Drosophila melanogaster: one gene and its partners. Changing the gene in region 2 together with the main gene of any one other region gives a genetic interaction. Each region holds a gene or a part of one and is shown on either strand. Other genes may lie near its edges. The genes, in order: PIP5K59B, rdgB, stops and Arr2.

What was found.
Region 1: of rdgB (region 2) and PIP5K59B, changing one enhances a phenotype caused by changing the other (phenotypic enhancement), as found in Drosophila melanogaster (one study listed by BioGRID).
Region 3: of rdgB (region 2) and stops, changing one suppresses a phenotype caused by changing the other (phenotypic suppression), as found in Drosophila melanogaster (one study listed by BioGRID).
Region 4: of rdgB (region 2) and Arr2, changing one suppresses a phenotype caused by changing the other (phenotypic suppression), as found in Drosophila melanogaster (one study listed by BioGRID).

What each region holds. Positions count from the first base shown.
Region 1 is NT_033778.4:22,871,201-22,881,739, forward strand, and holds PIP5K59B (phosphatidylinositol 4-phosphate 5-kinase 59B), read left to right. Parts: upstream 1-3,568; 5' UTR 3,569-3,828; coding exon 3,829-3,916; exon of another isoform or gene 3,917-3,972; intron 3,973-4,228; coding exon 4,229-4,263; intron 4,264-4,366; coding exon 4,367-4,516; intron 4,517-4,694; coding exon 4,695-4,892; intron 4,893-4,944; coding exon 4,945-5,087; intron 5,088-5,149; coding exon 5,150-5,647; intron 5,648-5,701; coding exon of another isoform or gene 5,702-5,713; coding exon 5,714-5,806; intron 5,807-5,874; coding exon 5,875-6,007; intron 6,008-6,058; coding exon 6,059-6,146; intron 6,147-6,541; coding exon 6,542-6,604; intron 6,605-6,955; coding exon 6,956-7,042; intron 7,043-7,139; coding exon 7,140-8,239; 3' UTR 8,240-8,361; coding exon of another isoform or gene 8,362-8,578; intron 8,579-8,669; coding exon of another isoform or gene 8,670-8,842; intron 8,843-8,932; coding exon of another isoform or gene 8,933-9,018; intron 9,019-9,277; coding exon of another isoform or gene 9,278-9,291; 3' UTR 9,292-10,236; downstream 10,237-10,539. Other genes in the region: CG13532 (uncharacterized protein), read left to right, coding at 596-659, 742-935, 1,030-1,192, 2,068-2,176, 2,255-2,436, 2,628-2,707; EMC8-9 (ER membrane protein complex subunit 8/9), read right to left, coding at 10,307-10,539.
Region 2 is NC_004354.4:13,760,139-13,767,716, forward strand, and holds the start of rdgB (retinal degeneration B), read left to right. Parts: upstream 1-2,613; 5' UTR 2,614-2,807; intron 2,808-2,930; exon of another isoform or gene 2,931-2,973; intron 2,974-7,525; exon of another isoform or gene 7,526-7,578. Other genes in the region: Yp3 (yolk protein 3), read left to right, coding at 1-113, 186-860. UniProt on the Drosophila melanogaster protein: Catalyzes the transfer of phosphatidylinositol (PI) and phosphatidic acid (PA) between membranes. May control phosphatidylinositol concentration in transport vesicles from the subrhabdomeric cisternae (SRC) to the rhabdomere.
Region 3 is NT_033777.3:31,163,790-31,171,256, forward strand, and holds the start of stops (slow termination of phototransduction), read right to left. Parts: upstream 4,816-7,467; 5' UTR 4,685-4,815; coding exon 4,238-4,684; intron 3,637-4,237; coding exon 3,537-3,636; intron 2,671-3,536; coding exon 2,561-2,670; intron 2,491-2,560; coding exon 2,387-2,490; intron 1-2,386. Other genes in the region: Gycbeta100B (guanylyl cyclase beta-subunit at 100B), read left to right, coding at 7,220-7,467.
Region 4 is NT_037436.4:8,645,657-8,652,478, forward strand, and holds Arr2 (arrestin 2), read right to left. Parts: upstream 3,281-6,822; 5' UTR 3,170-3,280; coding exon 2,314-3,169; intron 2,247-2,313; coding exon 2,052-2,246; intron 1,990-2,051; coding exon 1,835-1,989; 3' UTR 1,605-1,834; downstream 1-1,604. Other genes in the region: CG13305 (uncharacterized protein), read right to left, coding at 93-874; Pex7 (peroxin 7), read left to right, coding at 3,891-3,982, 4,051-4,803, 4,886-5,060. UniProt on the Drosophila melanogaster protein: Regulates photoreceptor cell deactivation. Arr1 and Arr2 proteins are mediators of rhodopsin inactivation and are essential for the termination of the phototransduction cascade.

The DNA of each region.
Region 1 (10,539 bases), on a different chromosome or scaffold from region 2:
CGAAGATACCAACACCAACTATTGGTATCCGCCAGCAGAACTCACGCGCTACGCCGAGAGTACGAACTCCACTTTTGGCACAGTTCGCCCCCGCGGACTCCATTCCGCACGCACACACTATCGCAGCCGTAGATGTTCGTGTATGTGGGCTGCAAAAAGTCGATTTTTCGCTAACAAAAAGTATCCTGTCCTGTGTGGGCAAAACTTTAAATGGCCCGGGCCATAAAAGGAGATTGCCATAGTTGCGACTTGCAGTGGGAGATGTCCTGCGAGGAGCTGCTGCGTCCGAGGTGCTGAGCTCGTTGGGCCGAGAAAAGTTTGTGCCAGTCAGTGCCCGTATCCCCAGAAAAAAGCATCCCCCTGCCATTCTGCTTCTGTGATGAGATTGGTGATAATGAGTGCAACCAAAGGCCCCCATGTATCCACATAAAAGCGCAAGCCGAAAACAGACAGCACCGCGATAAGTAGAAACGTCCAACCACCACAGAAGTATTCATTGCCACGCACAACGACGGCGCGTCCTCGCGGAACGGGAGGATCACGAGCGACAGGATCTGGAGTGCCCAGCGACGCTGAGGCAAACTAGTCGGCTGTCATGGCGGGCTGGCGAGGACGAGGCCTACGCGCCACGCTGCTGGCCGTGCTCGCGTTACTCTCGGGTGAGCAGTTCTCGCATACATCCTTTTTGGGTTCCTCCAAACTAATCCTGTACTCCTCCTACTCCGCCCCCATGCCGCATAGTCACTCACTCGGTGCGCATCACCAACCTGCGGGTGCCACGCACCTACACGCTGTTCCGAGACCACGAACCCGATCCTCTGGTGCTCGACTGCGAGGTGGAGATCGGGCCGCGGGAGCAAGGATTCGTCCTCAAATGGCTGTTCAATAACCACTCCATCTACCAGTGGATACCATCGGTCAAGGGGTTCGCCATGGTGAGTCACTCGGGGTCTTTGGTCGCACCGAATTAATTAAGATTAATCGAACTCTGTCTTTGTCTTCGATTTGTTCTTGTTCTTGCGCCTGTAGGGCTTCATGAAGTCGAAGATAGACACCAAAATATTCACTATGGAGGGCAGTCCCGGTGTTATATCGATAAAGAATCCCGACTGGAACATGACGGGGGAGTACACCTGTGCAGTGCAGACCTTCGAGTCCACGGATAAGCGGAGTGCCCGCCTGCAAATAATCGGTGGGTGTCACGACCACGGCCAAAAGAAAAAGGATCGGCGGTGAAAGATGTGCGGTGGCGATGGGAATGGGAATGGGTAGCAGGTGGTGGTGGGGGTCGAAAGGTCTAAGGTGGTGGTTCTGCCTCTGGTTCTGCCGGGTAACCTGCACCCGCCCCCATCTTGACTTGGCCCCCGCCACCAGGGTGTTTGCATAGGTGTTCTCGTGTCGGTGTTTACACAGGGAGACAAAAATTATGATTTATGTACTTAAAAGCCATTAACAAAAGCCGAGAAAGCCTTACTCTAATGCGCTGGCCTTTATTCTGTCCCACTATTAGCATTCATTCTCTCGCATATCATCTTGTGCCTGGGCAATTCTAATTTAAATTTTCAACGTACCTTTTTAAGGAACTTATATTCTATTATATTTCATGATATTACTTTCTATTTTGTTTTAAAGCAACTTTGTTAGCTATATATATATATATCCATAACTACGGTTTGAATATTTTAATCTTAGTTAGTATCTGAAGTTGTTTTCAGTGCTGTAGGACAACTGTAATTGGCTTAGTCAGGGCGTTCCCAATCGAGTTCCCCTTTTAAATGCTAGGGTCAGTACTTTTTTTTGCTAGTGCAGGTGCTGGGCGCCGTCTGTGTGGCACGTGTGATTCGCTTTCATATTTGCATGCGTGTCATGTGGCAGTCTCTGCGGTGTCCGGAACCACGGCTTGTTTGTGCTGTTTTGTGCTTTTCTTTGGGACACTGTTTTGCTTGGTATTGTTTTGTTTCGTTGTTTAGTTTGACACTTGATTAATTCTCACGACTTTTTGTCTTTCGGCTCCTGTCCGCCGGCTCCACCACACACCCTTCGTCCAATCTGCTCCAATTGCGACAGTTCCTGAATCGGATTTCATGCTGGAAGCGCGGATGAGCGGTTCGCGTATGGACGTGGACATCATGTGTGCGGTCCAGCACGTCTTCCCGCAACCCATGCTGTCTGTCATGTAAGAGGATCCACTGTCCCCGGCAATTTAAGGCCGGTGAAATCCAATAGCGCAAGGACCTAATCGTTCCCTCCGCAGGTTTGACACCCACATACTGGACTCGGTACTGACGCAGTTGGACCAGGACCCCAGTGGCCTCTACAGCATGACCGTTCGCACCCGCATTCCTAGAGATCAACTCGAGTCCCCCACCCCAATCACCTGTGCGTTTATCCTAGTTGGCACCAACTACACCAAGCGCCGGGAGACTATTTTCTATGGTAAGTACAGGTAAGCCTGGATAACACTTTGCTTATAAGGACAAGTTATTCATTCATGCATCATAGCATTAAAGTAGTAAGCTAGATTTGTTTGAAATTTTTAACATCTGTCCGTTTCTCCATCCTTATAGAAAACCTAGTTTTAAAGTTAACAAAATTGAATACATAATCTAATATTTTCTTCTTTACAGATAAGGCCTCAACTATACAACGCAAGTGGACAACGGTCGCCGTAGTCATGTCCATCGCATCCTTAGCTCTAAGCAGTTAGTTTGGTAGTGTCCTTTTTATGTAGGCTACATTCGTTTTTATGTTTGGACTAGGAACTTTGATACTCCTTAATTTTTAATAGACTTTTAACGGATAAACGTAATTTTTTGCGGTATTTTTAAAAAAAAGCGCTTATTTTGTACATGCATGTATTTGTAAGGATAACGAAACACAAAACAAAAACAAACACCACAATGCGTAAGCAAACGAACCCATAAAGACAAAAAGGACAACAGTAAAGCATAACAAGAAATTCTTGTATTCATATATTTACCACATAAATAAAATATATATGATAGTTATATACGATGTATAGGTCTAATTGAGTACAGAAACGCTAATAAAAAAAATACGAAAAGAAACATTAAAAGTGCATTAAACCAACCGCCTTCGTCGTCGTTTTTCTTTGCTAAAAAACTAAACAAATTTTAAAATTGTATTTTTATTGTAAAATTACGCTGTAGATTGGACTCAAGTCACACATATAATAAAAAAAAGTCTCAGCATGACTAATTAAATCCAAATTACTTTTGTTTATGGCATCTATGGATTGGTTTAAATGAAGTTTGTTTTTAATAATTCGTTTTAATCATGTGGGCGTTACAGGGCCACAGGGTGTTATAAAATTTATTAACATAAATTATTATTTACTATTTTTATGTTTGTATATTATATTTCCACGCGTCAAAGGCTTATAAGCTTTAAAAACATTGCTATTTGCGGATTTTACAACAGTGCGGATGCTCCGCTTCACCGTCTGACTGTGAATGCAACCCTGCGTGCCTGTTCCTGCGCACACCCTTCCAGCCCTGCCGACCTTCCAGCCTTCCAGTGTGCCTATGAGTATGCAGTGAAAATGACAGCAGTGGCAGAGGAGCCATCAACATCACCATCACCGTAGACAGCAGAAACGTTGACGCCAGCGCCAGACGAGAGCCAAGGTTCCTGCCACCCAGTTAGCCCACTCGATTGGATAATCGCCGAGGATCGGAAAACGTGAAAGCAGCCCTCGAATAGCCCAAGTCCACAATCCCAGCCAGCCAGCATGTCCTAGTGAAGTCCTAGACGTGGGAAGAGTGCAGAGAAGAGAAGAGAATACGATAGCAGAGCAGGAGCTGCACGATGGCCTCCGGCGATGGCGACACCATCAACACCATCGACATGGACAGCTCCTCGGCGTCTCAGGCCAAACTGGCCGAGCCCAGCAATGGTAACTATTATCCACAGACCCCGTCACTTTTCGCAGCGTGAAAAAAATCAATGACTGTCGAATGGAAATGCCCCTGGCGCATGTGTCTCGCGCGAAGGGAGGAAGCGTGAGTGTGAATCCACCCCCGCACTTGTCAAACGGACTTCCATCGGCTCCTATTTATATTTTGGGATTGATAACAAAAGAAAGTCACACGCGACTGGAGGGAGAGTGTCCTGTCCAAGTTCAAGTTGCGGTGATTGACCAGGCGACTGCGTCATGGCCTGAATTAAACATGACTCCTAATAATGAACTCTGTCCGTCTTTCTTTAGCCTCCACCGACCATGTGGGAAACTCATCGCCCGACGTAAGTACATCCGCCTTGACCTCGAGGTCACTCCCATCCAAACTAATCGGGTCAATTACTTTCACTCCCAACCAACCAACTAACCAACCATTCATCCGTCCAGCTGGGCAACCGACCGAACCGAGCGTCCAGCAAGGCGGACAAGGAGCGCAAGATTGGCCACAGACGCGTCGGCGAGGGCGGCGAGATTACGTACAAAAAGATCCAGACGTCGCAGATCATGGGCTCCATCCAACTGGGAATCCAGCACACTGTAAGAAACATTCATAGCCTTAAGTACTGGAGCTTGCATGTTTTACTAGCACTATTTCCAAACATTTCAATGAACTCAGGGCGGGGTTACAAGATTGACCCAAGCTTGATTCGTATGACATATCTTGTATATCTTGGCTTTTTCCATCTACTTAGTAATCTTGAAATATCCTTCGCAGGTCGGCAGTCTGGCCTCGAAGCCCAAGCGTGATCTACTTATGATGGACTTCTGGGAAATCGAGAGCATCACCTTTCCACCAGAGGGTTCTAGCCTTACACCTGCCCACCATTACAGCGAGTTCAGATACAAGATCTATGCGCCCATAGCGTTTCGCTACTTTCGGGATCTGTTTGGCATCCAACCAGATGATTTTATGGTGAGTGGGCGACCGTTCCAAGTCGGCAGATACTGATGGTCCATACTTTCAGATGTCCATGTGCACGTCCCCGCTGCGGGAACTGTCCAATCCTGGTGCTTCCGGCTCTATATTCTACCTGACGACCGACGACGAGTTCATCATAAAGACGGTGCAACACAAGGAGGGTGAATTCTTACAGAAACTACTGCCTGGGTGGGTAACCCGAACAAATCTTTGCAAGAAGACCTATTTAAAAAGTGTTATCTGCATTTCAGTTACTATATGAATCTAAATCAAAATCCGCGCACGCTATTGCCAAAGTTCTTCGGATTGTACTGCCTGCAGACGAGCAATGCCAAAAATATTCGCCTGGTGGTCATGAACAATCTGCTGCCCTCGTCCGTAAAGATGCACCTCAAGTACGACCTCAAGGGCTCCACGTTCAAGCGCAAGGCCAACAAGGCGGAGCGTGCCAAGAAGTCGCCCACGTACAAGGACCTCGACTTCATGGAGCAGCATCCCAACGGCATATTCCTGGAGGCCGAGACCTACGCCGCGCTGATCAAGACCATTCAGCGCGACTGCACGGTGCTGGAGTCCTTCAAAATCATGGACTACTCGCTGCTCCTCGGCGTCCACAATCTGGACGTGGCGCTAAAGGAGAAGCAGAGTGAGCAGAGAAAACCGCTTAGGGCTCCGCTGGCCGAGGACTCCGATGTGGATGCAGACGATCCGCTGGACGGCGATGCGGCCACAGGCATCAGCAGGAATAAGTGAGTATCTCAGCTTGCTGCCAAGCCTTCGGGCAATCTAAAGATCTAACCCAGTGCGGCATACAGGTCAGTGAATCGCCAGCGGCTGGTTGCCCACTCCACGGCCATGGAGAGCATTCAGGCGGAGAGTGAACCCATCGACGACGAGGAGGATGTGCCGTGAGTGCCTCAGTTTCAGTTCCATATATTTTTCCGAGCTTACATGCGACGACCTAACCCAATTCCAGACCTGGTGGCATTCCAGCAAGGAGTGAGAAGGGCGAGCGCCTGCTGCTCTACATCGGCATTATCGACATCCTGCAATCCTACAGGCTGAAGAAGAAGCTGGAGCACACATTCAAAAGCATCATACACGATGGGGTAAGACTGATGATTCTAGCAAGAATTTGCCACTGATATATACTCTTGCAGGAAACCGTATCGGTCTGCCGGCCCTCGTTCTATGCTCAAAGATTCCAAAACTTTATGGCCAAGACCGTGTTCCGCAAGATACCCTCCCGTAAGTGGACCGGTCGTGGAAGTCGGGCTAAGTACTCGTACTGTAAGGCATTTTTGTGTGCAGTTGGCCGAGTTATGCAAGCACTCAGTTCCGGTTCCGGTTCCGGTTTCCGACATTTTTGAGTAGATAGTTAGCCATAGACACTTTCACACCATTTACATTCGAACACACCGAACACCATTTAGACACTCGTAGCTTGCTAATGTTGGTTAATCGATCGATGTGCAGCAAAAATGCAATATGGTACACTTGGCCTGAGTAGACGCCGATTTGAAGAGATACCTATATACATATCTCTACATCAAATCAATATCCACCAACAAACCGCTCTGTTCTCTGCTTTCTTTTATGGCCATGTCTCGAATGCAATCACCCACTCTTACGTACGCATATAGTGGATCTCCCAGAGATCAAGGGGAATCACAGAAAATTTCGTACCTTGGTGACCAGCTATATAGGTAAACAAACGAATGGTCGATGTCCTTTAACTTTTGATTATCTCTCACTTTCTTTACTTACACCTTTCTTAACGAGTATTTTATAGTGTTTATTAACGATGTTTTGTATTCACCACTTGGTTTTATATGATTTCGAAACGGACGCCAAAGCATGCCTCTCAATCTCACGTTAGTTGATCTCACATCCCTGGCATCCTCGGCATCCTTGGCATCCTTGGCATCCTGGCAACCGTATTGCTCTTGGCTTCGCATAGTTGCTTTGGAAGTGCTATGCTTTTTGAACTTTTTCTTTTGATCGAAACAAATTTATGCGTTCCGCAACTAATTACTGCATTTCCATCATTTTTGCAGCGCTTAAGCATTCGCCTTCGAAGAGAAAAAGCCTTTCCAAGGCTATTCAGCGCTCCATTGACAGCGACAACGAGGTGGCCTCCAGGCGTAAGTTAATCACTCTAAAAATTAATGTATACTAACCACGACTACAACTTGTTCTAAAACACTCTTTCGATTCCTAAACCTATTATAATTTGCTCAGCGGTTCACGCCTCGCACTCGCACAGCAGTGGCAAGATTCACCAGCCAGCCAAGCCGCCCACCACCGAGCCCACGCCAGCGGGAGCGGCAGGTGGAGCCGAAAGAGGAGCAACTGCCCTAGGTCCAGCAACCACCAGTGGCGCCAGTGAACGGGCACCACCGCCCGTCAAGCAGCGTACGCCGGCGGCCAGTAATCTGAAGACGCGAGTGCCACCGCCAGTACCGCCACGCGGCTCGCCACGGCGCAAGGATGCCCAGGATCGGACGACTCCAGGTACAGAACCGCACACCACTAATCCCAACCCGGCACCAGCACATACCCACACCCTTCAGGTGCCAGCGAACGAGGGCATTCCGCGATTCGGGGATCGCCGTTCGCCTAGCAATGTCCAGGATTGGTTGGAGCTGCATGATCTCTTCGATGGTCCGGACAGTGGTCCATATGGTCCATATGCACCGCCTGCTCCTCTGGCAGACCCAACGGTTACTCTACTGAGAAGTTCTTCGCTGCGGCGCCGGGATTCCCTGCACTCCGCCTACTCCACGGCTCGATCAGAAAGTAGCTTCCGGCGCCAGCAGCCAAGACTCCTCAACCACGTGGACATCTTTCAGCGCAAGAACAGCTTTGTGGCGCGCAGTGATCGGTCATCGGTGGGCTCCATAGTTCGGAGCTTTCCGCCGATCAGAGCGGAAAGCTATCGTACGGGACGTTCCCGATCCTCGGGCAGTATTCACAGCCAGCATTCTCCTAGGCGAGGGATTCAAGAGAAGCTGCAGCGACATCAGAGGCGGAAGCGTTACTTTCACTACGTGGATTTGGCGCTCGGTGGCGAGGATTGCGAGAACCAGCCGGAGGAGGATAATCTCCTGCAGTCGGTCAGTGCTTTTTTGGAGGTCAAACGAGAACTGGAGGCGACACAGCGTCCTAGAAGACCTCTACCCAAGCTTACGCTTCCCGACCCGGTCGTAGAGCCTGCGAGGAGTCCTCCTGGACAGCAGATCAGACGGGGCAAGAGACGAGCGCCCAAGGCAGCGCCCTCCACGATACCCGAGAGCGACGGCACTCAGGGATCGACTGGACGCGGACAGGGACGGGATTAGCTACTCGCTTGCACCTCGCTTACCCAGCCACACTACACCATTACCCAGCTACCTTTTATTACTACTGTCTACTTCTGCCACTCATTCCGTTGTATATTTTGCTCTGCTCATTGTATTGCTAGGCACAACGCCCTCATGCAGCTCGACTCCTCCCCCCGCCTTTGACGACATCTCCGAGGACAGCTCGAACAAGAACAGCAGCTCGTCGATAGGTCGCCGGTCTCATCATCATCACCACCATCACCAGCAGTCGCAGCAGCATCAGCAGTCCTACTATCTGGATCGCAAGATGAACATTGGACCCGCCTATCGAGGCTCCTACAAGGAGGACATTGTGAGGTATTAATGCTTATGTATGTTAGCCATCTAAGCTATCCCGCCGTCGAGTGGAAATACCCATTTGTAACAAATTGATTTATTGTTTAACTAGCGTTTCGGAAGTCCATCTGGATACATTACTGGCGGTGGACACGTCGTCGAGCAGCCAGTACGGATCCCGCGGCGGATTGGCCTGGACCCCGCCCGCTTCAGGTGAGGGCTCCACTCCCACATGGACAGAGGGCACACCAAGTTTTACGGACTCCAGTTCGAGTGGTGATCTCGGTAATTGGCACTTGAGATTTGCTTTGAAATCGCTTTTTGTGTTTCTATATCTATCTGTATATGTGTATTCGTTCACGCTTGCAATCGTAGACAACTTCTCGCCCATAAACTCATCTAAAATCGATCGACACAAGCCGACGGTGGAAGAGGCCATCAACTCTCTGTCCGCGGGAATGGTAAATATCAGAGGAGACCGACTCTAGACACGATCCCCAGCACACATAGATACGTCCCGTACCGCTGCACCCACGACACCTCCACACCTAGACAGCTCCACCCCCATCACACACAGAGTTAGACTCGCACACGTCCATGTAGAATCGTACACTACTAGAGTTTTCCAAATTGCAGTGCATCTTTCGTTTGGGTGTTCTTCCCTAGCCATTCCCCCACAGCATCCCACTGATACATGACTTCTCTATTGCATTCTTATAGATCAACTAACATAGCATGTGGTGACGGAACACAAGACACACCAACCCAGATATATCACGATGTGGACTGAGAAAGAGTCCGAGCGAAATATGCCTCATACTCTTACATACTGATTATGCTTGCGTGTTCAGGCGCTCTTGTATAGCTAGGATATAATCAAAAGGCGCCCCACGTAGAACAGATTCCCCCATGTCATGCCCACGACCACGACCACAGCCACACCCACACCTGCCCATCCCTTCCAGCGGACACTGGGTGAAAAATAACCAACAAGAGACATAACTCAATCAAGCAAAAGATATTATATACAAGCCCAAAGCATACTCCTTATACACAGAACTACAGAAGCATATAGCATATAACTGGCAAATCAAATACGAGTAAGGTGCTCAGGATGGCATCCCGTTGGTGATCAGAGATCCGTGATCAGTGATTCGTAGTCCCGGTCCCCTATACGTTTAGTGTACGGTGTAAAGAGTTCGTTATGCGTTCGATCAGATAATATGAAAATATACAATACACTGAAATTATATAAATAAACGTTTTTGCGATACTTTCGATCTCCGATATATCCACATAAGTACGTATTATGTATACCTATGTATAATCAGCAATCGCGATATTACAATATTATTGTAAAATATTTCAATTTACAAGCCAGACAAACCAAAAGCAAAATTATATACATATTATTCATCTGTATTTATTAACGATAATTGTAACGCGCTTAGGTTTACTCAACACAATAAACAGAACAGAACCGGACCGGACCGGACTTAAAAAGGATATTACAATAGGTGCACCAACAGACGGACTCGGACTGCAGACAACATTTGACTCAAAACATGATGAAAGAATTGATTATTTATTAATTAGTTGAATGTTATTTAACTTATATGCATTATTCTAAAGATTACTGAAATCCAAATGTAATTACAATAAATTAAATTGCAAGGTTGAAATTCCGGCATGTTCCCTCGAATGCGATTTTGCTAGACTAAAAAAAAAACGTACGTTTGAAACGGACGACTAGTACAGTTTCTGCAGATCGTTGAGCGGCTGATTCAGGAAGTCGTTGGTCCAGTTTTTGTCCGGATTATCTAGATGGTTGTCAAAGTCAACCAAATCCCGCATGGCTCCGCGCTTCAGCAGCAGCGACACGCCTTCCAATGTATCGGACGCCTGTGAGAGCGTAAACTTGGCCTTTGACCACCTTGCTCCAGAGTCTCCGGGACAGTTGAATACCTGGATGGCGGCTCGGT
Region 2 (7,578 bases):
AGAACGCCCAGGAGCAGCAGCAGCAGCTCAAGAGCAGCGACTACGACTACACCAGCAGCGAGGAGGCCGCTGACCAATGGAAATCCGCCAAGGCTGCCAGCGGCGATTTGATCGTAAGTTGGTCGCATTCCTATATTTCATAATTAAACGTGTACATATGGATATTTATGAAATTCAAATTGCAGATCATTGACCTCGGCTCCACCCTGACCAACTTCAAACGCTACGCGATGCTGGATGTTCTGAACACCGGCGCCATGATCGGCCAGACCCTGATCGATCTGACCAACAAGGGTGTGCCCCAGGAGATCATCCATCTGATCGGCCAGGGAATCAGCGCCCATGTGGCCGGAGCTGCTGGCAACAAGTACACCGCCCAAACCGGACACAAGCTGCGCCGCATCACCGGTCTGGATCCCGCCAAGGTGCTGTCCAAGCGTCCCCAGATCCTGGGTGGTCTGTCCCGCGGCGATGCTGACTTCGTTGATGCCATTCACACATCGACCTTCGCCATGGGCACGCCCATCCGTTGCGGCGATGTTGACTTCTACCCCAACGGACCGTCCACCGGTGTTCCCGGCTCCGAGAATGTGATCGAGGCTGTGGCCCGTGCCACCCGTTACTTTGCCGAGTCTGTGCGTCCCGGTAGCGAGCGCAATTTCCCCGCCGTTCCGGCCAACTCGCTGAAGCAGTACAAGGAGCAGGATGGCTTTGGCAAGCGCGCCTACATGGGTCTCCAGATCGACTACGATCTGCGCGGTGACTACATCTTGGAGGTCAACGCCAAGAGCCCCTTCGGTCAGCGCAGCCCTGCCCACAAGCAGGCCGCCTACCATGGCATGCACCACGCCCAGAACTAGAGCGCCCATGGCCACGCCCCCTGGTTACCAGGGACGTTCGATCGTCACGCACTTTCTGATAATCAGAAAATAAAAACCCGGAATGCGTAGTTTAGCTTAGAAGTTTCATCAAACAATCAAAAAAGAAAAATCTATAAAATCCCATAAAAATAAAAGCTGCAAATTTTCGAAAAGTCAAGTTTTTTAATAGCAATAGCAATGGTTATTCTGGATTGGATTCTAACTTTTATGGTATTAAAAAACACACACAAGAATTTGCTGGGCACATTTTTAGGCACCCCTTCTGAAGTAAATAGAAAAATTTCCGAAAATATACATATTTAACATAGTAAATCGGCCAAACAACTTAAATGAGCTAATAATAAAAAGATAAATGCATATATCACAGGTGATCTTAAGCAGATGCTTAACCAAAAAACAACACGATAAATAAAGCAAACAAAAAGTGCCTAAAATACAATTATGATACCTAATGAAAGGTACACGAAAGAAAATGTAGATAATAAATAAACTGAAAAGAAATTAGGAATAACTCATAAAAATCAAAATTTAGAAAACTGTGCAGCTTGGTATTTACTAGCACCCTAGATGCTTAACAGGATTGCGAAGTTGGGATGGAAATACGCACAAGGAGATGGATGCATTGAGTGGGCGGAAGTGAGAGTGAGGCAACTAGTGTCCGTTGCCATTTGATGTGCACTCAATTAAAATTTGCATTCGGTTTATCGTTAGTGACTACTCGTTCAAAAATCACTGGGCAACCTGTGTAAACTCAATTGTTCCTTACAGTTTTGGGACATGCGCGGTGTAAATGTCAAAGTTGAACTTTATCAAATGCAATAGACAAACTAGAAAGGGCAGCGAAAACAGCAGAGTCGAAAATAGAGCGAGATAGGGAGCTGGAGTGACAGGAGCGGAATGACAACAGTTGGCGTCTTTTGTTTGTGCATGTCGTGACATGTTTGCTTTGACTCTGACCGAACGGAATGCGCCGTTAAGCTTATCTTCTTACCGTACACTTAGAGCGTCTTCTCTCTCTCTCTCTCTCACTATTTGCCCTTCAGCGTTTGTTCTTCTTTTTGGGCTTGGCAAGCTCTTGCTCTCGCTGCTTTTCTCCAGAAGAGAGCGCACAAGGACGCCGGGACGTTGGCATTTTGTGGGGTTCTGGCCATCCGAGTTTCTTGCAGAAATTACTGTATATTATTCATTGGCCGATATGCATAAATCCAATTTACGAAACCCCCCCTTTTCAGCCTAGCCAGCTGAGTGTCCCCGCAAAAGGAGAGAAAGGCAAAGAGAGTGAGAGTGACGCTTTCTCGCGCGCTTTTGTTGCGCACAAATAAAGTAAGGGGTTTTCCGCGAATCGTCAGTTGAGAATTGAGAACTGAACTGACCGTTTTCAGAAACGGTGGCGTTTTAACTTTTTTGTTATTTAATTAGTCCTTAAATAGTCCTTTTCTAAAATGTACTTAAAACATGTATGTATATGTAATGTAGAAATAGTTTTTTAATATCTAAGCAAAAATTATCCAGATTGCAAATATGTACATACATACATATGTATTTATGTATATACTAGTATACTTTTTATGAGTCTGGCGATTTTGCGGTGATACTCATTTTCGGAACGCCTCGCTCTCTCCGCTCATTTCTCTTGGCTTTGCTTTTGCTTTAGCTTCGTTTGCTTTTCGGCGTTCGTTCAGTTCAGCGTTCGGCGTTCCGTTCAGTTCATTTCGGTTTGGTTCATCTTACTTCAGTTCGGAATCAAACGCGAGCCGAGTCGCAATCGCAACTTTGCCGCCGCGCAGCGCACGCTGTTTTTTTTTCAGTGTGTACGTTTTGATTGCAAAAAGAAATAAGCAAACGCAAGGCAAGCAGCAACAACGCTGAAAACATTTTTCATCTGCGGCCTGGAAAAGCGCCCCGAAGAAAATGAATAGATAAATTGTATTAATCGCCCAATCGAGTCAGCATATATCCACTGTATATTTATATTTTGTTGTGCGTTGTTCGTTGTTTTTTTTTCTCCTTTGCGCTTTGGACCTTACTCTTTTGTTGTTAATTGTCCAGCTGCCCGCAATGATAATAATGTGAGTTGGCCCGCCGAAAGTTGGTACGTTTTCCACTGCTGCTCTTTTTTCACCTTTGTTTGTAACAAATGGAATAGTTTACAACAAAATTCGTAAAATTAGTTAAGGATACTTCGGTTGTCGTGTGTGTGTGTGTGTGGGTGGCAGCTGCGTAAATGCGTAAGCTGCGTCGCGTTTGTGTAAGTGTGTGTGTGTTGGCTGTGGCCAGGTCTCAAGGTCCCGTTAGCTCTCTCCCACCGCTCTTCCTGTTTCACGCTTTTGCTCTCTTTTACAAACAACAACAAGTCTGTGATAAGAATTTTCCATGCGTAATTTTCACGTAAAGCTTTGTTTTGTTATGTTTGGTACTTTTGCACTTTTATAAATCGGATAAAGTTTATTACAGTTCAGCGTTTTAAAAAGTCTTTTATAGCCATCTTAATGATTGATTTTTTAAAGTATTTTTTAAGGAATTTAAGTCAAATTAAAAATAAAAATATTAATTTATAACTATTTCTTTAAAAAAATGCTTTAATCTAAAAATGATAAATTTCTTAAGAATAATATTGTTAGAAATGTTTTCATTATGAGTTCATAAAAAATAACTTTTTTTGGTTAATGTTCCATAAATAATTTTTTACACATTTCATTATACTAAAAAAATAGGAACTTAACTCAGATGAAAAATAAAAATATTTATTCGAAAGCACTGCTCTGGAATTTATAACCATTGGTTTTTGAAAAAAAGTCTTTAATCTTAGAAATTATGAATTTCCTATGATTAATATTTTTAGGAATGTACATTTTTCATAAATGAGTCTATAAAAGATATCTTTGTACAAAATAAATATTATTATATAGGCCCTTTTTGAGATGAACCCAAGAAATACGTTTGTTGTGTTCTTATTTTTGCTGCTTATTGTATTTATAAATTATTAATAAGCACAAAGCGTGCCACAGGTGTGCACGAAGGAGTGAGCGAGACGGGGAGAGTGGGTGAGAGCCAAAGAGAGAGTACGTGACCTTTTTTTCTTGCTCTTTTCCGTCTAATTTAGCTCACTAAACTTGAGACTCGGATTTAATAGGCTTTCTTTCAACCTTTGCTTTCTTTGCATCCCAACCCGTCTATTTCTGTCTCTGTCTCGCGTTCATTTATTTCCGCTTGAGTGCGTTTTCTGTTGTTGTTGCTTTTCTTCGTTTTATTACCTTTTTTTGCACATTTTTCTACACCTTTTTTTTTATTGTATTGCTTGGTCAATTACCATGGCAATTTATTTATCAGTTTGGCGTTTTTGATGTTGCAACAATTGCGCAAATTTATTTCCTCTATTTTCACTATTTGAGCTTCTGTCTGGCAGACTTAATAACAAAAATGGTTTTGTGCATAAAAGCGTGGAATTTTACCCATCTTCATCTTATGATTTTACACGGAGAGAAAAGTATATCAAGCAATCTTAAAAATAATTTAAATATCAGAGTGGACATGGATAAAATGTGCATTGTGTTAATATATTTTAATAATATTAATGAATGAAAATATTTGTGATATTGCTCTTACTTTTCTCCGTGTGCATACCCTTGCTTTACCCTTTGGTCACATCATAAACAAAAATTTTTTAAATGACAAAATACATCATAAACAACCACATTGAAGGCTACGTGCACTTTGGCCGGATCTTTTATAGCCAGCACATGTGTGCGTTTGTAATTTGTTTATTGATGCACAGTGGGCCGCTTTTTCATCTCCGGGCTGCTATATCATTTAAAAAAAAAGGTGTTTTCTAGTCTAGATTTCTCGAATGCCCCCCGCCAAATAAGAAGACTTTAAGCGAATCGTAAATAATGTCCATTTTTTTATAAGCCCCATAAAGGAAGCTCCATTGTAATAAATCTTATCGCTGCAAAGTTTTTTCTCATCGTGAATATTAACATTTCTTATCACTTTTAACTGCAGGTGCTTTCTTCTTATATGAACTTTACTTGTGTTCTCTAAAAGTCGTAAAAATGTACATACATATGAATATTAAATTGGGAAAAGTAATTGCAGTTGTAAACAAAACCTAGCATTCTTCATATAGTGCTAACTGCACATTGTTACTTTCGCTAGCTTAACAGAAATTTTTTACACCAAAAAAGTTGTTTCACAACTTTAAAACAGTGGAAGATACATGTTTTCGTTATGAAATTATCTGTTTTTCTTATATATAGGACACACTTTCGATAACCTTTGACCCAGTGTAGCAAAGAAAATCTGTTGGCGCATTTTCTGTGTCACAAAATGTAATTATGCTAAGGAGGCAAAAAAAAAAAACAGAAAAATGGTGATGTGTGGAGGCTAACGGGGGGTGGAGAGTGCTAGGCGAAAAGGGGGCGTGGCATGGCAGGGGGAAGGGGGCCTAAAGCGGTGGCCATATTGTTGGGGCTTACGATTCGTTACGGCCTGCCATGTAACTGCCATGACATAAACATGTGCATGTCTGTGTTCGTTTCCCCTTCCCCCACTGCCCGCTGTGCCCAATAATTATTGATTGACGGCCCTCCTTTATTGTGCCTCTTATTTTAGCATCTAGAACATCCCGCCCCCTCCCCCATTTCCCCAACAATGTCTATCCAGATCTTATTAGGATCAAACCATATATAACTACAAACTAATGAAACTATGCCATAATATAATTACATATATCAAAAGCTTCTTTTTAGTAATTTCATATAGAATGAATGTATTGTATTATGTATTAGATATTCTGTAGCTTGTTTTTCTTAATCTCATAGTAAATAGGGAAATCTAAACTTTTGCGCAACATGGTTGAGTGTTGAGTTTGCATGCTAAGTGCCACTTACATCAATTTACAAAATCCCCATTCCCCCCTTTTCGACCAACACAAAAGCTCCAATTAAAAAGTAAGCTCCTTTGGGATCCATAAATTGGATGGGGGAATACAATAGCACTTAATGAGGAGCTGGACAAATTTGTGGTCGAGATAAATACGCGATAAGATCTAAACAGATTAGGAGTCTAATGAAGGTCATTAGCAATGGAAGTTCACAGCTTGTAAGCACAGTGGGGCTACGTAGTTAAGAGGTTTAATTGTAGTTTAAGAATATATATATGCTATATGCCCAAGAATATTCTATTATATTTGATAATATAAATATATAGATATATAGATATACTGACAAATTTCAAGTAGCTTAGATTTTAACTTAACGTTCTGTGCGGAAATATTCTTCACTTAATAAAAATGATCAGTTAAGTTCCCTTTAAGCAATACCCACTGTAATTACTTGATACGAAACTAATTAATATTTCTGCACGGGAATTCATCACTTTATTATCAGTCATAACGATAATTCCCCTATCGCCGTTTGAACTCGTCTTAAACACGTGTTGGCCCGCCCATTTCTCCACCCCCTAAATTAGCCCACCACCCACTCACCCACACTCCCTCCACTCTCCTTAGCTACATTCCTATAGGTCAAAATGCGATGCAAATGCGTCAGACGACATCCTACATAGCTATGTATATAGATAGATATATATATATACACACACATACCCACACCACCTGCCCCTCAGGCCACCTGAGCTTGGTTGGTTGGTATTGCTGTTGTCAGCAGTCAACAATAAATCCAATTAGCAAAAAGATAGGAAAAGTAGAAATGGTTCAAGGTAAGAAGAGCAACCCAATTATGCACAATAAACGGAATTTTGGCCAGTTTCAATTGCAAGCGAGCCAAAAGTTTGGTAATAACTTCTAATCACTATCATAATATACAACCATTCAAGTAACAAATTGATTATTTATGCAACTGAAAGCGAAATGGGCAAAGGGACATGCGAGTGAAGAAGGTTGAACTAGTAGTTCTTTGGCTGTTCCTTGTGAAATGTACCGATATGTACCTTACTTGACCTTATCAGGGGGGAGAATCACTTCTTTTTGTTGGCATTTCGCTGACATTGACCACCGATTCGCATCGAAAAAAAAAAAAAAATAAAGAAGGAAGGAACCCCCGAGAGCCCTCACCCGCAGGTCACATCCGATTATCCAAAGTGCTTGTCAAAGACTTGCCCATTCCATTTCGCTGCTGTCATTCGAAATCAATAAAGAAAATGTTAATTTGCATTTGAGAACTCACTATATAGCTCATGTGGTCTATTTTAAAAATGATGGCCTTTATTTGCCCTTTGTTTAAAGCCAATGATTGTGAATATGGGGAGTAGAATGTTTATATCCTGTTTAAATTACATTTGCAAAACATTTTGCGTGCTCTTCAAATCTTTTTCAGCGTGTTTATTAGCTAATAACTTTCGGGATTATTAGTTAATTTTTCATTTGGCTGCGCGTATTTCTGAAAGTACGCAGCAGTAAATAGCTTAAAATGTATATACTTTTAGATAATCGCACAACAAAATATAAAATACACATATTCATTCTTCACTGAGATGAAAATTCTAAAATTTCGCCCTACCTTGAAGTGAACATTTCAACTTCGCATAGGGCTGTGCAATTTTAGTTTGCTGGGAGCCCATTCACTTAAATGTCAGATAGGCACCAGGCAGAAGCCATAGCAACTGTTCTAGCACACCTACACACACACAAACAAACAAACACACGGACACACATCTGGACCTGTACACCTACGGCCCC
Region 3 (7,467 bases), on a different chromosome or scaffold from region 2:
CTGGGCGGGTACCAGACCTCAATTAAGCTGCTCGCTTGTTGCTCAAAGCCCTTTCATAAAACGAGAAGAAGCACAGAGAAAAATATAAAGCCTTTCCTTGTTTTTACTTGAATCTAAAAGAAGAGACCAAGGTTCGTTTCTCGCAGCACACTTTAAGACGCCTTAAAGACGGATTACTGAGACCTAGAAGTTATTCAACTTCGACATTTCTGCAATATTTTTTTCTGTGCCTAACTTGACATTGCGTATATGTGCGTAATGTGTTGTGTGAGGGGTGGGCGTTTGTCTCCATTCAGGCATTAGCATGTACAATGCACTTAAAGCACATTTCCGGCACAGCGCACACATACACACACGGCTTTTATGTCTACGCATAAAAGTAGGCAAATAAAAGAGCAGAAACCACAATAAACCGGAAGTAGAAGTAACCCACACATCAGACGATAAGCGCACTTTGAGCCACCATCCAGTGACAGCTTGGAAATTGGCTTGGCAAATTCATTTGCGTTTTATTGGCGGCGATAAAAGTGAGTCCCTGCAAGAATCAAGCCATTCCCCAATCGCATCCCATGACAGGTTCCTCAATAGCCGTATATAGCACCTCGTGGCTGGCATATTCTCCTCCAGTCGGAAGTGATTTGCCCCCAAGTCAGACATTAACACTTTAATCAGCTGCTGAGTGGGCTGACAAATCAAATTTCTGTCTAATGGTCTGCTTAGCGAGTATTAGCCGGCGTTTCATGTTAATGTCTTTGCTATACAGTGTGCACTTCGATTAAATCCGATGAAAAGAGTATGAGTTCTCAGCTTGTGAAGTTCCCAGTGCCTTGGAGGGTATAAATTATTCCGAGTGCCATTAAGTCGGCAGGTTATGCAAATGCAGTAGTGAAATAATGTAACTTGCTATTTTAAGCCATTTAAGCCATGCAATTACTGAATTAAATCATGTTTTTTTCTCAATAAACAATTAGGTTTTAGTGTTTTGTTAAACACCCTTTTCAGGTGTTTTCTTTGCAAATCCGTTACTGTTGCATTAGAACCCTAACATCGTAAGTAAATTGTGTAAATCTCATTGTGAGCTTTTAGCTTCAACACAATTCCTTTTCACGAGTGTTCACTGTTCTGCGAAAACTTTGGCAATATGCTGCTCCAGCACTGATTTATGCAACTTCAACGGCATTTGGCCGAAACGTTTATTGTCACATTGCTTGTTTTTCTCAGCTCTTGGGTCGCACACTCCACACACACACTCCCAATCGTACACCCACATACATTTGCAGCTATTGACGCTTATTCATGACTTTGGCTGCTGTTTTGCGAGAGGGCATCATAAATGTCGTCTTAATGCTTGCCAGTCAGTATGTTTTTTGCCTTCTGTTTGTTTAAGAAGCGCAAACAGTCAACTCGGCAATGGTATGGGTATGGTATATCCAAGGGGGCGGGCTGTATCTGTGTGGATTAGTGGGCGTGGTGGGGTTGAGCATGCCTTTGTGCGCTTATTACACGCATTTTTGACTTTAATCCTCCGAAGTGCTGGCGAACAAAGCCGAAATAACAAAAGGTTTACATCGCTGCCTGTTGGTTTTCAGCTTATCGCATCAGCGACACTCACACACGGACCTCATGTGCATGTGGGAGGGTCGGAAAAAGAAGGCGGAAAATGGGAAACCCCCCCCCAAAAGCAAGCTGCAAATGAAAATCTTAATTATACATGACACCAGCAGAAGTGAGAGAAAGCCACCGCCAGTGATTGAGAGCCATTCTCTGTAAAAGTGTATTCGCAGTCGTGTCTGTGGTTGTAAATTGTCGCCATCTTTCACTCAATTATGGCAGTCACACACACACACACACTCTGTGTAGGTGCCACAACAATGGCTGATGAATTAATTTAATTAAAATCCTTTCATTTCTCTGGTTACCCTTCACGTTCGTCCACCATTTCCTTGCATTCCCAGCGGGTATTTATAGTATCTTATTGTTACCGAAAACATTATTATTGTGTGGAAAACTGGCAAGCCATTAAGATTGATCGGTATCTCGGCACATAATCCGAATTTTAAAGTTTAATCTTTAATTCTTGGCGATTTGCTTTGTAAGCAACTTATAATTTGCTCTGATAGCCATAAGCTAAGTGTATAGAAAGGCTTACTGTGACTGTTATGAAAGTAAGAGCTCTCCATAAATGTCCAAGCATACAGCTAGTATGAAAAACTCTTTGGGGGAATGAAGACCTCGGCATGGCACCCAGGCAACTATCCAATTAACCCGGCTAGTGTGAAAATCGCTCGAGGCAGCAAAAGAGCGCGACACATGAAAGAGTGAAGAGGGGGGAGTGGGGAAAAGGGGAGAATGTCAGGACAGGATGGGGACCGGGCTGAGGACTCACCTGAGCTGTCGCTCCTGCTCGAAGCGCGGAATCCAGACGGGCAATGTGAGCTGTTCGCGTGTGGCGTGCTTCAGAAAGTAAACCATAGCCCGGACATTCTCGTGCTGCGAACAAAGGACATACATGGGTGTCTATTCCACGGGGCCAGGAATAGGGTCTTTCTGCCAGTCTCACCTGATCCTGAAAGTCACTGCGCCAGCCGGCGATGAAGTGCGGAGCATGTGGTCCAAACAGGGCGCCCAGGAAAATGCGCTCATATGTCTTCTCGCACTCGTAAATGGCCACTGAATTGCACAAAAAGGGGATAAATTAGTCATGGGAACAGGAAAATAGTTAAAAGTTAATTTATATAAAACAAGCCACGTTTAATAACATTTCGAAGTGGGTAATGCCATAAACCAAATTTGTATACACATTGTGACCGATTTTCCCGCGATGCAGGCAAATTGTCGGTAGTGGAGAAAGCGGTTAAATAATGTCATCAAATCGCAGCAGCGCAGCCATAAAAAAGCTAATTACGTGGCTGCACTTGTTGCTGCTTTGGTTTTTTGGCTTTCGGTTTCGTTGGCTTTTTGGCACAGCCCAGAAATGAAGTCAGCGGAAAACGGAAACGGCCACAATGTTTGCCAAACCAAGGCCAGCGGGTCCAAAAGGCTGGAGTCAGCAACAAAGCAACTTGGTGAGTGAGGACAGGACAAACAAGGAGCAAGTTTTATTGCACACGAGTCCAGATTCCCTGACAGAGGCATGCCATTAATTCCAGGCACTTTTCCTGCTCGCAAAAGTTTACGCAGCCTTTTAATTAGAGGCAGCCAACATGCGTACGCCCCAAATAACTTGCAACACTTTGAGGCACTTTACAAGTTTTACGATGCAGCAACAACAGAGCAACAGAACGACATCAGCAACACTTTCTTAACGCAATTAGCAGAAACACGTGATTAAAGTGAAAACTGCCTGCTTATGGGCGTAATAATCCGATGCGATGGGATGATATTTATTAAAGTATGCAAAGCACACAGCCACGCCCAAAAAGCAAACAGGAAAGTCTTGCCACACACACACGCACACTCACTCGCATACGCTTACGCACACATACGCATACATATGCATTTAAATTAAATTATTTAGTTGGCCCGACTCCACTTACCCAGCAGCTTGACGACCACCTCCGAGTCCCGGACTCCCCAATCCCAGCAGGTGCGCAGTCCGATGTACAGGATGTTGTGATACTTGCCCATGAGGCAGACCTGGGGAATACGCATGGAATGGAGGGTGTGGTGAAGGGGCTGAATCCCAACTGAAGTGCTACTTTTTAAATTATAAATAATTGCCATATGAAGAGATGGCATTTAAAATGGAAGAAAATTAAGTTTAGCAGACTCTGCCAAAGGAAATTAAGCCCGAAACAACTTTCCATATTTATTTACACTCTAAAAGGTCAATTGGATCGCAGCAGCAGGATATACATATTTATGCATAGTTTTAGTACTTTTCTAACCGTTTTCTAGAAAGCTTTATTAAATTCCACTTTTATTCGACTCAAAAGCAAAGCAATGTTATTTGGCTAATTAATCATTGGTTTCCATTCATAAGGCTTGGTTTAAACATTAACATTTATTTAATACGACAACGAAATAGACTGACTTGGCTTTTGTTCTAATTATTTATTTCGTTTTTTTAAGTACCGGAAACTAATTGTCAAATCATTATTAATTAAGTTGAGCTTTGCTAAAGCCCAGTGCTAGTTTGTATGGACTCTTTTAAGTAAATATTTATTCATATTAACTATTGAAGTTTGGCACACAGAAATGCCACATTGGCAACACTCGATTTGTACATAAAGCTCACCTGGCCGTTCTGCTCCTTGGCCATTCGGTGGTACCTCATGGCCGCCGTCACCGCGATGGCGGCCACCTCATCCGTCTGCGAGTTCTGGCCGCCGCTGCAGCCCTTGATGATGGAGCTCAGGTGGTCGAGGACATCTCGCCGCGACTGGCGGTCCTGCAGTCCGTTGCGGGAGATCTGCTCGAAGGTGTCGTCGAAGAAGCACTCGAAGATGTAGTCCATGACCAGATGGCGGCGCTGGGTTCGCCGGTTCCGCTGGTGACTGGCCCTATTGGCAGGATTCCGACGCAGTTGTTCCCGCACCCGCAGACGCAGCCGTGCCCGTGACTCAGTTTCCCGGCGGAAACCGTAGAAATGCCGTGGAAATGGCAACCAGCAGCGAACCCACACAAATTGGCTTTTTAATTGACTTACCAGCCGCTGGAAAGCCTGTAGCAACTGCGAAAGCATATTGCAAACAAAATTTAATTCACTTTAAGTAGGCAAATATTTTCGATTGAGCTGAATTGATGATTCCCTCCAAAGAATTGAAATTCCGCTTCAAAAAAACTCCCGCACCGCTGAAGCCAAAGAGTCGCAATACACAAAAAAGAGAGAATTTCTTTTGCGGGGGTGACTCTCTTGCGCTATCGATTTTTTGCAGCTGGCAATGATGTGCTGGGAGAACTTTTGATAAACATAAACAACTCATAATGAGCATGCGGAATATTCATTTTAATATTTTTAAGCATTGCAATCATATAAGAAAATAATTACATAGTATGTAAAGCTTATTCAAAAGCTGATATACAGTTCAATTACTTTTTAGGCCTCTTTATTTCCGTGAAGCTCCCAGCAAAGCAATTGGCAAACAGGTGTTTGATTACCAGCCGACAAGTATATTTCTATGAGCTCTTCAAAAACCGAATGGAACTCGAGGACTCCATTGAAACTGATTCGATTCGATTCAATTCGATTGGTTTTTGCTAAACAGTCTATTGCACTTTGAAATTTGCTGGCATTTTTCCGAACCATTTATTCACTGCACGCAGCGCACTCACACAATTTTCCACCCCACTCATCAGCTGCCGCTGGAAAACTAAACAAACGAAGTCCAATTTCTAAGAACGCTCAGCTGTTTACCTAAGCGCTCACTCTCCCGCTTTCTCTCCACTCTCTCTTTGTACAGAGAGTAGCGGAGGTATTAAATACGCGTTTCATGAGCATAAAGCTAAATTAGATTCTAAATTGGAATTTTCAATTTAAAATATATAGTACATATGTATGCTCTCACATTATTTTTGTGCTAAATGGGTAATGTTTGGCGATAAGCATAAAATCAAATGGCGCATAAAAACGCAGGTTTTTGTGATTTTGCAATATTAAACTGAAAAATAATTGGTTTGTCATTATAAGGATTATGCTTGATTCAACAAAAATATATTTATTTCGAAATAAATACTGATGGTGTGCTGTTTAATGTTTCAGTGCTTTTTTCGGTTTAAATCATTAATGAATTTGATTTTACAACGGAAAACTGAAAACTAATACAAAGTCACTCGATACTTCATTCCAGAGTGAAACCGATATTATCATAAAGCGAACCGCTTTAAGCTATCTTTTTAGAGATTTACTAATCCCCCTTCAATGAATCCATTACATTTTCAAGGGGATCATTTTGAAATAAATATTGCAACAAATATTCATATACACGGATTTAAATCTGTAAACAATAGGAGTGTTTTCTCGAGCTTTAGCCACGTCAAATGTATTTTAAAACACGACTCCAATTGTCATGTAAATTTCTCAGCTACAAAATAAATTCATATTTTAAATAGCAATTGTGCACATTGTTTACATGTTTTTCTATCACCCTTTGCCAATTAATATTTGTTTATGCGGGACATATCAATTTTCCCATACATTATTCAGGCCCACTCATTCCATTATTCGCCGTATTTGCACGTTTAATATTTGGGCTGACAATTAAGCGCTGGGTAAATATTTAAGCACTGCCATAAACATTAATTAAGAACGCACACCAAGGGATCCAGAGATGATGACTGGGATAATCATGTCTGGTAGGGATTCCTCGGGTCCTTCGCCTTAATCGCATATGCAAATAAGTGTCGAAGGACATTCGGCACAGTGTAATTAACTCAGGTCCATTAAAACGGTGCATATTTGTGCTGGTTACCCAGGACAACATGGCAATATTTTCACCTGAACAGGCTCACCTGAGCGCTAATTAAAAGGGCAATGCAATTGTGGCCATATGCAGGCTATCCGATGCCGCAAAGGTAGCGAATTAATTGAATTAAATTCGTATCCAATCAGCGGCGTATTGGCCGTAAATATATGAGTCCGAATAAATGCAACAATGTGTGGTTGCACTGTGGTCGAGCCAAGCGGAAGCGGAAATGCACACAAGCCTGGCGAAATTTTTATTTCGCTTCCGTTTTATGCTGCACTCGATTGTGCGGGCACATGGAGCACAATAACCGAATTTACATAATTTCTGGCGATGCAATCTAATAGCTGAATAAGGGGTCTCCCACTGTGGAAATTACGATGGCAATTTATTGGTGTGCAGATTGAGAAAAAAAAACGACCCCCGAGATATACATCATTCAGAGTGCATTATGGCATCAGACCAAGTCCACAACGGAACTCCCTAACTCGAATTTATGTGACTGCCAAAGGAGTCACATCTCAAATGTTAAGCACTACTATTCTTTGCTTACTGAATTTGCTTGCATCTTAAAGATATAGCTTATACATAACGTTCTGTCTTTATTTCTCTTCGTAAGTGATATTAAAACTCGGTGATTACTTTGTAATTTTGGATAGAATTATTTACTGCGCTACTCTACTTAAGAAAGTTTTATTTACGAAATTTCAGTTTACACTATACTAAACCCCAAAGAAGAATAACAGTTGAGTTTACACAGTGCCTTCCGCCCTGAAACTTATGGCATCTGCCCCTTTTTCCTTTCCTTTTTGCAGGCTCCTCTGTATGGCGATCAACCAGGATGATTCGTTCCACTTGGAGTACCGCGGACCCGTTATCATGAAGGGCAAACCGACGCCCATGGACTGTTGGTTCCTGACGCGTGCCACAAGCAGCATTTTGGGAGGCACTTCCTCGACCGGAGGCAGTGGCGGCGGAGGAAACGGGAGCTTGGATTCGCCGCTGCTGCAGCCAGCCACTCCGACCGCTGGCGCGGCCACGCCCATTCCCGTAGTCGCCCAGC
Region 4 (6,822 bases), on a different chromosome or scaffold from region 2:
ATTGATTTTAGGCATGAAGTGCATGTTAAGAGCTATTCCAAAATAATGAGCAACCACCACTTTTCAATTATTTTTCAACCCAATTAACTTACTGAAAGTACTTGGTTTCCTTGGCACTTCGGTCAGCTGGACTTCTGGTTTCGGCCACATCCGTGTCCAGATCCTTGGCGTACCTCCTGGGTCTTTCCGTTTGGACATTCTGTGAGGGTTGCTGCTGCTGCTGCTCCTGCAATCTGGCAATGCGAGGTGGAATCACATGCAACACATCGCTGGTAAAAAGAGCCGGTGGCACATTGTAGAGTTGCTGCGGCTGCTGTTGCTGCTGCAAGTGTTGCTGCTGCAAGTGCTGCTGCTGCTGCAAGTGTTGCTGCTGCAAGTGCTGTTGCTGCAACTGGTGTTGCTCCTCGACGCGGCGTTGTGGTTGCTGCAGCGAAACCCGTTGCACTGGCAGATAGTTACCTTCATATCGATATTTGGCCAAATCGGCGTGTGGAGCGATGGTCCGCTGCTGGTACTGGACACTCTGCTGCGGATACAGGGGCGGAGGGGGTGCGGCAGGAGCGGGCAACTGCTGCTGCTGGTAATCCAAGCCCAAGGGCTGATAACTCGGCCGATAGTTAATCAGCTGAAAGTGTGGCGTCTGCTGCTGAAAGTGAATCGCCGGCGGAGGAGCCGGACTATAGCCGCCCACAATGGGCGTGGCAGCGGCACCATACTCAAAGCGACGAAGACGCGGTGAATCGTAATACAATTGTCTTGGATGGTAAAAGACATGTGGCTGCTGCAACAATGCCGGCGAAACGAAAAGCAACAATTGCAGGAGGAATATTTGCATCTTTAGCAGTCCGTTTAACTTTCCAATTGGCAGATCCATCGCGTTGCACTCTCGTCAAATTTGTGGCAGCATTTTGACAACAACATAGCCATTTATAGTTGGCCACTTTTCGGGGCTTGGCCAAAAGCCGGAAGTCACTTGCCCAGCAGTCAGCGGTGTGTGAAATCGATCGACGCTGCTGCCCCGGATTGTGCAATGCTCCAACGGTCAGCTGCAGGGCTTATATAAGATATGGCAAATAAAATGCGAGAAAATTGTAAAATAGAAAAAACCAAAAAAAAGAGGAAAATCAGCTAGACTGACGGGGATGAGACCTAGAATCAAACTGCTGGCAGCTGGCGGCCTTAGCCATCATCAAGGTCAAAAGCTTGGGCTATTTAGCATACACAAAAATTGTGTATTTTGGCAAACGCATTGTCAACATCTGGAGCTTGGAACTTCCGTTGACCGTTAGAGCCGGCCATATCCAGTTCTGGTTGATCCTGATTGGTGGAACACATATCCTGGCAGCCTGTTGCTTCTTGCAAGGGGTTGAAAGCCTACGATGTGACCTATAAGCATTGGGCTTTTCAACCCCCTGTCATCGTTGAAAAATCACCCTTAGAATTCCTGCCAGCAGATCCTTCGTCGTCGAGCTGCGCAGTTGTTTAGATCATTCGACTTCTGAAGTTGAAACCCACAGCACCGCCAAGAACAATCCACTACCAAAAACCGAATCCTTACCGAATCACTTTTGGATACTACATCGCAAACGAGAGAAAAGGTGAGTGCTTTTGATAGCCATAACACATTTATAATATAGCGACACGAGGTCTGTTCAACTCATCAACATGCATATGTACGGGTACAAACTCCAGATCCACCAAAGTTACATTATAGATACGATTATAATACAAAGATTGTGGCCTCCACGAGAGACTGCTGCAACAAATTTTCAGTGCTTTCGATTTAGTTCAATTCGGTTCACAACAGAGCTAGAAGAGATTGAAGATCGGTGGCCTAGTCCGCCATGTTCACATTGTTCATGCGCATCTTGGCGAAGTCCTCGAATACAATATTATCGTCATCATCCTGGTAATAGCCCTTCACATTGCGGTGCTGCTCGATGGACTTCATTTTCTTCATGGCATTCGAGCGCTTCTTCTCAATGGTTCCTATACCACATCAAAGGAATTACAAACTAGAAGTCAAGTTCAAGTAATCTTCTAAAGCTTACCAGGTGCCGGTTGGAGTAGCTTGAAGGGCACATCCGTCTGCATTTCACCTCCCAGAGTGCCGCAGTTGAGCTTAATGCGCACCGAGTACGAGATGACAATACCACAGGCATCTCCCGTGGACTTGCCCTCCTGCACCATGGTGGATGAAGCCAGGTTGACATCCTCGTCCTTCAAGTGACCATCCAGGGCGATACCTGAGTTCACAATTAAATAATCCATTAGAAACTATCCAGAATCACAACTATCACATCCAAATCCTACCATGGCGATCCTTGTTGTTAGCCGCCAGCGGAATCAAGTAGAAGGTCTTGGTGAGATTGGCGCCCGGAGTGATGGGGCAGCCCTCCTTGGTCTCCAGCTGGGCCACATGCTTGCTGAACTGGGCGTTCACCATGGTGATCTCAGTGTGCTGCACAATGAAGCACTTGATGCTCTTCACGGACTTCTTGGAGTTGTTCGACACCTGGACGGTGGCAGCCGTCTTCTCGCCATGATAGTAGATCTCCCTGTCCAGCGTAACCTCCAGACTGATCTTGCCATTCGAGAAGGTGAATCCCTTGCTGACCAGCGAGCTGGGCAGACGCTGGCCACGATTGAGGGGAGCGTACTGCAGCTTCTTGATCACCAGACTGACCATGCTCCGCTTGTGCTGGCGATCGTCCTCGGAGTCGCCCACAAATGCCCGGATGGTGTACTCGACGCCCAGGGGCTTGCCATTGTCGTCGCCCTCCTGCTGCAGAGTAACGGAGCTGGGCGAATTGGGCGGGAAGTGGAAGGTGAACGGATAGGCGTTGCTGCCCAGTTTGCGGACCAGCTTCTCCTGCATCGGTGTCATCTCCATGTTGGGATTGGTCATGGGCACAATTTGCTCCCGGCACAGGATAAGCTCCTTGGAGAACTTCACTCCCATGACCTCGTCCTCCTCGCGACCATAGCGATAGGTGGTGGCCAGTTGGCCAAAGACTTTCCTGTTCTTTAGATAGTCCGGTTCCACCACAATCACTCCATCGACGGGATCACAGTAGTCGATGTGGTCGATGAAGTCGCGGCGTCCCAGATAAAAGGTGACCTTGCCGTTGGGCGTGGCCTTCTTAAAGACCTTCACGGATACAACCATTGTGGATTAGTGGATTTCTTTGATTCCTGGCAAATGCAACTGGGCAATTCGAGGCTAAGTCGGGCGATGCGCGTTATAGAGTTTTCCGTTCGGCGGAGGAAAATGCGAAACCCAAGTGCCGTACAACCTGCTTATATACCTTTGCCCTGGCCCTGTCCGTGGGTCTTCATTCTGGCCACTAACTGGATTTGCTCGTTATGCACTTGTTTGTTGGCTTGTCCAACACGACAATAAGATAGAACCATAGGAACTAAGGGAAAACTGCAAACAAGCTGCTTCCAGGGGTTGTTCTATTTTCTGCGCAGTTTGCCACTTGCCCGAGCAAATTGGCTAATGTCAAGTATCTTTTTCCGATTTTCCGACCTAGTACGAGGTCATTTGGCCAACTGTTGAATAATTGAGCATGGTAGGTTGGAGCTGGATTAGCATCCGATTTGGTGTTACCGGGTTGTTATCAATCGGCCAGTTTTGTTCTCTCTTAGCCAAACATCAGTGGGCAGCAAGGAGAAACCTTAGATGTTTTTAATTTTGTTATGTATCAAACGTCGATATATTGATTTTAATGTGAGAGGTATAATTGAAATTGGCATTTCTTACAACTAGCTTACCAAAGGTCGCAATTCATTGTAGTTAATGTTAGATAATATTTAAGGTCCAGAGAAATTGGTATTATTTTGAATCTCTCCTTTTTTTTTCTTTGCAGTTGAGATCTAGAACCAAGATGCAGACACAGACACACACCACCACAGACCGACATGGCTATAGCCTGCGCTTTTCGCCTTTCGAGGCTAACTACTTGCTGCTAGCTACAAGGTGAGATCAATCTTAAGCTCTAAAACCAACAATATACTAATAGAAAACCATTTTTTTTCGATACCCAGCCAACTGTACGGTCTTGCTGGAGGTGGTTCCCTCTTTCTGCTGGAACAGAACTCCAACACAAATTCCTCATCCACAGATGGCCAGAGTCTCGGAGAGCTGTGCCGCCTAGAGTGGTCCGATGGATTGTTCGACGTCGCCTGGTGTCCGTATGCCGCCGATATCGCCGCCACTGCCTCCGGAGATGGATCGCTTCAGATCTGGTGCGGATTGGATGGCGAATCGGCGAGCAACCAGCTGACGCCGAAACAGCCGCTGATCTGCCTGCAGGAGCACAAGAACGAGGTGTACAGCCTGGACTGGGGCGAGAAGTGGAACTACCACACGCTGCTCTCGGGCAGCTGGGATTGTACACTGAAATTGTGGGACTGCAACAGACAGAACTCCATCACCACATTTGTGGGCCACAACGATCTGATCTACGGGGCCAAGTTCTCGCCCCTGATCGCCAATCTGTTTGCAAGCGTAAGTACCGATGGACATCTTAACTTATGGAACTCTCTTGACTTTGCAGGTAAACCCCTGATGAGCATCGAGGCGCATGCGAGTGAGGCACTATGCTGCGACTGGTCGCACTTCGATCGCAATGTCCTGGTCACTGGAGGTTCGGACGGTCTGATCCGCGGCTGGGATCTGCGCAAGATGAGGACGCACGTCTTTGAGCTGTACTCTGGAGAATTCGCTGTCCGGCGATTGGCCTGTTCACCGCACTCGGCAGCGGTCTTGGCATCGGCCAATTATGATTTTACCACAAGGTAAGTGGAATGATCTTAGGCTTTCAAAAAACAGGACATTTTTATGGTTAGTAACAACTGTCCACTTTTGTCACCTTTTTAGGATTTGGAATCTGGAGCGTGGTGAGTCCGCCCAGGAGGTCAATGCGCGGCACACGGAGTTCGTGTGCGGATTGGATTGGAATCCCCACAGGACCCATCAGTTGGCCGACTGTGGCTGGGACTCGTTGGCCAACGTTTATACCCCGCAGTGTCTGAGCGGTGATCTGGTCGTCTAGGTTAGTACAGGGCATGCCCAAAACTGGAAACTGGAACTGGTACTCCCTAAATACCGAAAACACATGTGATAAGGCGCTAGTGGCGTCGAAATAGCCAGGCCTACAAGCGGTGCACCGTTATTACGATAGCTGAGCTATATGCAATGCCTATAAGGAACTGTAAGGAACCGAAGACAAGGACTCATCGGCGCAACGATGACGTGTAAATAGCTGTGTGATAAACGCTGAACGGGCTAAAACCTCAAGCAGGTGCTTCAAAATGTCAATAAAAGCTTACATATATCACGAGTATTATATGAATTATATGGGTTTTCTGCGCTGCTCTGTATGTTATTATGGCCTTCGCAATAAGTTTCTTGGCCCCTGGCTATAATTTGCACTCGGCCCTTGTCTTAACAAGAATTTAACGGATCACGGAATTGGAGTTCGAATTGGTTAGGTGGCAAAGAGCCAGCCAGACGCTGACGGAGATTGACTTGGCATCCTTATCCGGTTGGCTTAACTCTGACCAAACAAACACGCAATAAAGCGCTAATTTGCTGCAACGTTTTATTGCCCGAGTGGAGCCGAAATCCCTGTCATTCCCGGAATTGACACAGCCAACAAGGTGGATATTGCCCAAAGGTGTGCCAGCCATCGCACCTTTTCGGCATGGCATGGTGTGAAATGGCAGCAGTTGCTCCCTGCGAACTCAGATCACAGATCCCAGATCCTGGCACCCCGATCCCGTCATTATCAACAGACTGCGCTTTAACTGCCACTCGGGGCAAATATTTGCTTTGAAGCCAATTGGCGCTGATTTCTTCTGACAATTGGGGGCAGATCAGGAGGACCTTACTCTCGATTCTCGACACCAGGGAACAGCAGCTGCTGACCCGTAATTATCTGCTCGCCAGTCAAGTGATGCCAAAATTGATATTAATGCCTTGTTTGTGTTAATAAAAATCGGTTATTCGGAGCCTGCCAAGCTGAGAGGTGCTGAATTTATCCTTAGGCGAAGACAGATCTTGATGGGAATTCGGCACCTCATTTTATTTTAAATAATTATTTAATGAAGGAGTGTTTTGCCAGTATGTATTATTTGTTTTAAGTTCGGTGCCGAAACTTGTGCAGCTGAATTTTTCTTTGGTAAAAAAAGCTTAGCATCAAACATGATAGTTGTGTAAATATGAATAAAATAAATTATGTTATTATGTTGTGTCATGTCATGTTATGTTATGTTATTATGTTATAATGTTGTTACATTACATAAGAAATTTTGAAATATTTTAAATTTATGGTTGCAACGGTTTGTGCTATAAATATGTGGCGCCGCCTATCGGTAGTTTACAGTACCTGTCTATTTTACATGCATTCTACATACATGCACTGCTTGCGAATACATATCAAATTAATATGCACTGCTTTATAACGTTAATTTGAATATTTCGACGCAAACTACAACAAATATTCAAAAAAATTTCATTCTGAAATGTATTTTATATAATTTAAATATAAGAAATAACATTTTATATTCAGTTTATTCGACAATAATCATTTGTACATTTTAAGACCCATTTCGAGTCTTTGCCGTCATTAAAATGAAACGCAATTTTGAATGAAGCCAAAGTCCTTAAAACTACAGACAGTAATTTCGCGCAAAAGCCAAACAGTCGTTGCCAACTATAAATTAGCGCCAAACAAAGTTGCAAGCCGAAGGCGGCTGGCGAGCGAAAAAAAAAATGGTCACTTACCGCGAGTCCGCGTTGTCTAGCCCATAACC